Linked DNA regions of Kluyveromyces lactis. The protein of the gene in region 1 interacts with the protein of each later gene in a biochemical or structural test. Links are inferred from orthologs where the notes say so. Each region holds a gene or a part of one and is shown in the gene's direction. Other genes may lie near its edges. The genes, in order: TUB2, RBL2 and SHE1.

Evidence for each region.
Region 2: the proteins of TUB2 (region 1) and RBL2 form a complex in vitro, tested with the Saccharomyces cerevisiae proteins (3 studies listed by BioGRID). The link is inferred for Kluyveromyces lactis from reciprocal best matches to the Saccharomyces cerevisiae genes TUB2 and RBL2.
Region 3: the proteins of TUB2 (region 1) and SHE1 form a complex in vitro, tested with the Saccharomyces cerevisiae proteins (2 studies listed by BioGRID). The link is inferred for Kluyveromyces lactis from reciprocal best matches to the Saccharomyces cerevisiae genes TUB2 and SHE1.

What each region holds. Positions count from the first base shown.
Region 1 is NC_006040.1:454,670-457,995, reverse strand, and holds TUB2 (beta-tubulin), read left to right. Parts: upstream 1-1,385; coding exon 1,386-2,735; downstream 2,736-3,326. Other genes in the region: PER33 (Per33p), read right to left, coding at 1-124. UniProt on the Saccharomyces cerevisiae protein: Tubulin is the major constituent of microtubules, a cylinder consisting of laterally associated linear protofilaments composed of alpha- and beta-tubulin heterodimers.
Region 2 is NC_006039.1:823,346-825,467, reverse strand, and holds RBL2 (Rbl2p), read left to right. Parts: upstream 1-1,170; coding exon 1,171-1,488; downstream 1,489-2,122. Other genes in the region: DSE3 (Dse3p), read left to right, coding at 1-801. UniProt on the Saccharomyces cerevisiae protein: Tubulin-folding protein; involved in the early step of the tubulin folding pathway.
Region 3 is NC_006041.1:1,089,142-1,092,291, forward strand, and holds SHE1 (She1p), read left to right. Parts: upstream 1-1,624; coding exon 1,625-2,620; downstream 2,621-3,150. Other genes in the region: HEK2 (Hek2p), read left to right, coding at 1-820.

The sequences.
Region 1 (3,326 bases):
TCAACTTCGTACGGAACACAGCACTCAGAGGGGCTACAGGTCTCTGAGCAGGCCTGTTGCCTCCATTTTGACCGGCAGCATTGGAATAACGATTACCACTGCCATTGCCACTTCCCTCAGACATCTTCTTGAAAAGAAAACCTTTAAAATGAAACCTTAGTAACTAACTCACGAAAGTTCTTTTGGAGACGAGATAATCAACTGCTATTGAGCCGCTAAGTTAAGAGTTCACAATCAACGATGACAAAAACACCTTGAAAAGCTAAATATGTAAACAGCTTTCGTCTTCAATACACAATCAGTTAATCAATTGATAGCCAAAAATATAAGAAAAAAAAAAAAAAAAGAGACCTGCTAACCTGATCCGATTCGATTCGGTTCGAAATAGAATACCGTAGCTTAATCAAAGTAACCTTCCGATTACTATATACATAAAAATGTAGCACTGGACAGATCAATTCCAACTAGTCAAACCCTCTTTCGCTTCTCCAACTAATAGGTTTCCTTCTCTTAACAAACTGTACTGGACGTTTTTTCCCTCTTTAAATTTCCTAATCCTGAAATCCGTTTCTCTTTAAATTTTCACATCGTCTTTAAATGTCAGCTAGAATCGAAAGTTAGGGAAAATTGCAGTATTCCAGTTTCCGTATGATTCTATCATATACGGAAAGTCAGCTGTGAAGAAAATGATCCGAGAAAATAGTCTGTTCAGTCTTTGGACTCATGGAACACTTCGACAACTATTCTAAATCTTAGGGGAATGTGTTGCTCACTTGCAACCTCAACTCTTGTCTTTAGATGAACTGACACTACGCAGGAATTCACACATCACAGTCACGTGCAAATCACGCGATGTAAGTTTCCGTTTCCCGTATTACCCGCACACTTAGCAACCCACAAAGGGAAATAGACGTGCTCGAAAATTGCCTAAAGAAGTGAAACAAAGATCAAAATACAAACAAAGATATGAGGAAAGAGAAGGAGGAAAAAAATAAACAAATAAAAACAAATAAATAAACAATTTAAAGTGGTTAAATAAGTGAACACAGACGTGATTGTGAACAGGCTTGCACGGGTTAGAGATAACTTTATAGATAACAGCTGTGAGAACTCGTCTATTTCGATTTGTTAGTTTGTTTGTTTAATATACTGTGGACAAGACTACTATTTTTACCCATATTATATTTCACTTTTTTCTTGTAAAGGACAGAGAGATCGCATAATTATTTTTTTTTCTTGAAAGAACAAGGATCAACAATTACTGGATTATAGATACCCCTCGATTGTATCAACACCAAGTCTTTCTACAATTTGCCTGTGCTGTGTTTCTTCAATTGTCATTTTTTGAGATCAGATCAATAACGCGCTCAGAGATATTCTAAAACATGAGAGAGATCATTCATTTGTCCACAGGTCAATGTGGTAACCAAATTGGTGCTGCGTTTTGGGAAACTATTTGTGGTGAACACGGTTTGGATTTTGAAGGTAACTATCACGGTATCGATGATATTCAAAAGGCTAGATTGAACGTTTACTTTAACGAAGCCTCTTCTGGTAAATGGGTTCCAAGATCCGTTAACATTGATTTGGAACCTGGTACCATTGATGCTGTACGTAACTCTAAGATTGGTACTTTGTTCAGACCAGATAACTACATTTTCGGTCAATCTTCAGCAGGTAACGTGTGGGCTAAAGGTCATTACACTGAGGGTGCTGAATTGGTGGATTCTGTCATGGACGTTGTCAGACGTGAAGCTGAAGGTTGTGACTCTTTGCAAGGTTTCCAAATCGCCCATTCCCTTGGTGGTGGTACCGGTTCTGGTATGGGTACTTTGTTGATCTCTAAGATCAGAGAAGAATTCCCTGACAGAATGATGGCTACTTTCTCCGTTGTCCCATCCCCAAAGACTTCAGATACCGTTGTAGAACCATACAATGCCACTCTATCTGTACACCAATTAGTCGAACACGCTGATGAAACTTTCTGTATCGATAATGAAGCCCTTTACGATATATGTCAAACTACTCTAAAATTACCACAACCAGATTATGCGAACTTGAACCATTTAGTTTCAAGTGTCATGTCTGGTGTCACTACATCCCTACGTTACCCAGGTCAATTGAACTCAGATCTAAGAAAATTGGCCGTGAATTTGGTGCCCTTCCCAAGATTACACTTCTTCATGGTTGGTTATGCTCCATTAACCTCGATTGGTGCCCAATCTTTCAGATCCCTATCTGTATCAGAATTGACCCAACAAATGTTCGATTCAAGAAATATGATGGCTGCATCTGATCCAAGAAACGGAAGGTACTTGACTGTTGCTGCATTCTTCCGTGGTAAAGTAAGCGTGAAAGAAGTTGAAGATGAAATGCATAAGGTTCAAACTAGAAACTCGTCGTACTTCGTAGAATGGATTCCAAACAACGTGCAAACAGCCGTCTGTTCTGTACCTCCAAAGGACTTAGACATGTCTGCTACTTTCATTGGTAACTCTACATCCATCCAAGAATTATTCAGAAGGGTCGGAGATCAATTTAGTGTTATGTTCAAGAAGAGAGCTTTCTTGCATTGGTATACTAATGAAGGTATGGAAGAAATTGAATTTTCTGAAGCTGAATCTAACATGAATGACTTAGTAAGTGAATACCAACAATATCAAGATGCTACTGTTGAAGATGACGAAGAATTGGAATTCGTTGACGAACAACCAATGGCTGAAAACTTCGAGTAAAGAATATAAAGGAAAACTTCAGCAGGAAAAAAAAAGGAATAAGGAACAAAGATCAGATGTGTACAGAAGATAAGTTTATCATTTTGAGAGCAGTACCACTGAAAGCAAATTATTTGGACACGAGATAAACAATAAACAATGTACTTCAGAAAGATATTTTCTTTCTTCTTATAGTTTTCCTTTCGTTACTTCTACTATTCTAATACTATTCCCCACACCACTAGTAGAAGCGGAAAATTTCGAAATATGATACCACCCTTACTATAATTTATATGCTTTTTGTTTCTCTGCTCAATGATATGTACTATCAATGTGACCCAAAACATTTCTTTAGTATTTGTTTCTATTTTTTTTTAATAATATCATATCTTACTACATAATTTTAGTCTTCACATTATAATACGTGATTCTTCATGATATATTTGACTCAGATGTCAACACAGTAGTATGTGAATGTTTCAATGACTTATCCTCTTCCCCAGGCCTGATCAATCATTTCACAGATCAACGAAACATACCAAGAACAAAAAGAAATAAATTTTTCACAATAGTACCCGAAGAAAAAAATTAATAAGGAACTAAACTGATGTG
Region 2 (2,122 bases), on another chromosome or scaffold:
GAAATAATCGCACCATCTGCCGTGCTTGGTTCAGCAACTTCTACAAACCCCGAGGATTTTGATAACAGACCTTTCTTAAAATATCGTGAGCGTAATAGCAACAGTGATTTGCTGTTGGATGAAATTATGAATCTGTACACTAACAGAGATGTAAGTACGGAAGATTCGCCCATAATTAAGAAGAGAATTGATGATTTTATTGATACCATTCATGAATCTTTACAGAACCACAAGGCCTCAAGGGAAAAGGATAGGACGCACAAAGCTGTTGATATGTCACCAATAATAATAAATAAGAGCAGCCCAGGCTATGTTGATTGCCTGAAGCTACCAAATACACCAGAGTTAAGTCCTACTGAAAATTTGGAAGCCAACATCTCCACTCCAGAATACGTTACTTCAGGTGGGTCGGATCAAAGTAGTGGTGGTGAGGAGTTTTCAGATCTGGATTCCTTAGCTCTGGGGTTTAAGTCACCAGTTAGTGTAAGTGATGAATCTTTTTACAGTTGTTCAGAGGAAATTACGAAAGATATCAACAGTCCATCTACTACCTCAGAAACTTCCTTAATGAGCAGACACTTTTCCATAAGGAATGCTGGATTGACTGCCATTAATCCAAAAGTTCTAAATATCACTGATATGCTCGGATTTTCGGACGAAGAGGTTGAAGAAGTGACCGTCACAGACTCCCCTTCTGCTGAATACATAGATATTTCTGACAACTACTCCACAAAGATCGTTGACGATACTACAAGCAGCATTTATTCCCTTCAATCTGCTACAAGTAATCAGTTCGAATAACGAATTCGACGATTACGATTGAGTAACAAAGTATATAGCTATACCTAGCTGTATACACTGCATTTAAAACAATGAAAATACCCAATTATACGTACAAACCGTGATCGTAAGATATAACATCACTTATGTTTTTGTTCTACCTTGGGTCGTATTACCCTATCAAGCAGAGTGAATCTGCTTTCTATTTTTACCGTTTACGGTTTCTCAAAATCATAAATACTGAAATCCTAATGGAAAACAATAACTTCACGACAGTACTATGGTCGAAGTGCCTTCATCTTTTCTGAACCTTATTAACATTGTTTATGAGCAAGAATTGAACCGTGATACCAGATCTTGTTTGCCACAGGTTGATAAATTGCATACACAATGGCGCCTACACAACTAGAAATCAAAGAACGAGCACTCAAGAGATTATGCAAAGAGGAACATTTCTATCAAGAAGAGCTTGAACAACAGAAACTCCATGTCAAAAAATTACAATCAGATCCATCAGTAGATCCATATGATCTAAAGAAGCAAGTTGAAGTGCAACAAGATACAGAAAGGCTACTTCCAGAATTGTATAAAAAGATCAAACAATTTAGGGATGACCTCGATAAATACCTAAGCTCATACGAGGGTACAGAGGATTTAGAGTCTGCAAAGGCCGCGCTTGAAACTGCTGATGAACTTTTGAAGAACTAGGTATAGTAATTGTGTATACTGTATAGTTTTTAAGTCCTCCATGCATTGAAACTGTGGATATATTTGATATCGTTAGTAATATTAGTATGGTACTAATTGAAATATCATTTTGAGGCCCGAAAATGAATTTTAAAGTCGAAAAGAAGAGAATATCTTGAAGAGTTAGCGAAAGACCCAACTAACAAACACCACCAAGATGAAGCAACATCAAGCAGAAAAGAAACCTGTTAGTAATCAGTTATCAACGGGAGAGAGAATAGCAACTTGTTAAAGTCCATTTAATTATGTTCGAGCTTTGAGAATCAGCAAAAAAATGTTCCAACTGAGGTTCGAACTCAGGACCTTTGCCGTGTGAAGGCAACGTGATAGCCACTACACTATTAGAACAGATCTTAATTAAAAAAGAAAAAACTTGCATCACTCATGCGAGCTAGATTATTGTTGCGAACTAGTCATAACGCATGACCGGGTAACTACCAATGTAATAGGCGGTTAAGTATCAAGATGATACATAAGGATTGTTTCTAGTTGAAACATCATTAACCAATCTGAGTTATTATATAAGGAGGCATTAGATCCGGGTAAGGACAATCAACACAGTCATGCCAGATCGCCAGGTGCATCAACATACATT
Region 3 (3,150 bases), on another chromosome or scaffold:
CCCAAGACAAGTGGCCAATTCGTTGGGTCAAGTATTACGTGTGCTAACTACGGATTACGAGCCTGAGGAACACGTTTTCAAGCATCTAAGATTCATGTTACCTCCAGCATCGAAGGAAGAGATTGAGGATCCAGAGAAATGGAAACAAATTGGTAATTTGAGATTAATCTGTACCAACCCACAGATTTCGTCAGTCATTGGCCAACAAGGTGCCAAGATTAAGAAATTGATTGAAACGCATACTGTTAAACTCGTTGCCTCGAAACATTTCTTGCCCGATTCTAAGGATAGAGTATTGGAGATTCAAGGGTTCCCTACCTCGGTTGCCAACTGTATCAACGAAATCGCAGAACTGTTCATTCAAGACGACGTCCATGTACCTCCAAGAACTTTGCCCCGTTACTATCCTCATTCTAAACATACAAAAGAGATCCAAGTGTCTCAAACGTTGGCTATTCCAAAAGAATTTGTAGGTGCACTTTTGGGAGTTGGTGGTAACCGTATTGCCAACTTGAGAAAATTCACAAAGACTAAGATCGTCATCGGTCAAGATCCAACTGAAAATGGTGACAGAATCTTTACGGTTTGGGGTAACGACCAAAAATCCGTCAAATTGGCTCAGACAATGTTGTTAAAGAACTTGGAAGTTGAAAAGAAGAGACGTGAAGAACACGAAGCCTCTTTGAAGGATGGTTCATCTGTTCCTGCTGCTGCTGCTGCTTCCGCCGCCACTTCTATTTCTGCTTCAGGGGCTAACCAAAATGACTCTATTCATACTCCAGTCTCCGATAATGAATCTCCTGTCGTATTTACAGAATAATTAGTTTACGCTTTTCCACCTTTTGAAAGAAGTTAAAACTACATTATAATAGTATTTTTTTTTATTTCGGGCGGGTTGTTTCTTTACCTGTATCTCATCCACCCAACTCACTACACTCCAAAAGACTAGACTGGCTTACTACGATATCTTCTTTCCCAACCACCTCTTTCGCACAGAGAAGCAGAGATGTTATTTGCCGCGTGTCTAACGAGAAAGCGATTGCTCAAAGACGAAGCGTTTATTGGAAATACGACACCAGTTCACTCTTGATTTCGAAATCAAGGTTCCTGTATATTCCAATTTGCTTCCAATATACTTGCTTCGTCCTATAGTCACCTTTCTTCCCTATCAGACACTCATTATTTTCGACCTTTGTCTTTCTCCAGTAGAGAGAATTCAAATCCTAATAAAAGCATCATCCATTTCTGTTGGCTGTTTATGCTCTCGTTTGTGTGTCGATTTATGTAAATCAGACTTTTTATGTAACAGTATATCCACAATCTATTTTTTTCAAAACGAAACCTTCTTCTCGTTTCCTTTAAACCGTTCCTTTACTTCGTTTAACACCATCTCATCTCCTCTGCCTCTTCTGATTCATTTGGGAAACCAAAACATCAAAACAATAACATTAAAAATGGAAAAATTGTAAAGATCGACTTTAAGATTTAATAAACAGGGCAAAGTGGTTGAGACAAAGAGCATTCTGAACGTTACTGCAACCCATTGGGCACTCACATCACAGCGTTTGTCTGTATAGAAACGAATACTGCATATTAGTACCATTATTTTCTCATTGTATACACCATGGACAAGGAAAATATGCCACCTTTATTGGATGGCCATCAAATGATTGAATACATCGGTGTGTCAAAAAGATTAGGGAACAATGTCTTACAGGAGCTGGAACAACGTGCCAGTAACCTTCTACCGAACGTGTCACCAGAAAAGACCCGTTTGATGCATCTGGGCCATGATTCAGAGATGAAGAATTCGATTTCAATGAAGTTTCAGGATAAACATGAAAAACGGTTCCAGGTGATGGACTCTATCGATACCCATTACTCGCTGGCTAAGTACTCTGGTATGCCTCAGACACCAGGGAAGAGGAAAAATGGGTCAGACGCGGATGAGACAAGTGTTGCTGTGAATTTAGGTTCACCAGGATCTGTAAAGAAGAAACAGAAATCCGTAGGAAATGTGTTCAGTCCGGTTACTGATATAACGCATAGGATCAGGAGGTTAAGGGTACGCATTACGACGCCCAATGAAAGGGAAAGAACTGAGCGTGATCGTAGAAGAAATATAATAAGCAACACGCCGTTATCGAGACAGCGACAGCTCCATGAAAGTATCCCTACTTTCGCACAACCTACAGCTACGTCACTGAAACGGAAACAGATGAACAATCCTTTACACAAGCTGGTGGCTAGTGACAACAACAATGTGGAATCGCAACCCAAACCGAAACCAGCAAAACCAAGACACGGTGATATATTCAGGAATTTGAACCAATCGGAGAAGCAGGCCTCACATCCGAGAAGTGCGCCGGTACCCAAACAACAACGTATTCCTCAATCTAAATCCGTATTTGAAAGGCTATATGAACAATCCACGATATCCAGATCCAATTCGTCTAAAAATTTACTGAAACAGGAGAAAACTACTAGTAGCGATGGTAACACATCGCAAATACCAAGATCCAAGACACAACATGATTTACATGGAGGTATGAAAAATGCAAGACTAACGAAATCGACAACGCTGCAAAACGTTGCACTAGATAGACCTCAGTGGAGGTAAGTAAGGAATAAATAGACTCTTTATAAAGATAATCATGAATGTTAATTTGTTATGTTACGTGAAAGTAGAAATCTATATAATAATGATCAAGCGTCATGATCAAACAATGAAAACAACAGAATGAAAGAGCAAAAAAAAAAAACACAACCAAGGCAAAGTAAACGTGAAACGGGGGAATAAATTTACAGAATATTTATTGAGATAGCAAAGAATATTAATCCTCACAGTCTGGAATCTTTTTGCTCCTTCTTTGACAACGATTTTCAGTTTTGTTTTTCTTTTAGTTTGCCATTTTGATTCATTAGCGTTCCATGAGTATGTTAACTTTTTTGTTTTTATGACGATGACATTTTAGAAAAAGATTGTTAATTCATTATTGAGAATATCTGAAGGAATTTAAACCCCCCAGAAATAGCCAACATTAGAGTTCGTATCCTTTGAGAATGTGGGGGATAGATTCAATTTTTTTTTTCTGAACGGAAAGGTGAGTTAAAATAAGCAATAAAAAAATTAAAAGGAAAGAAGTTTAC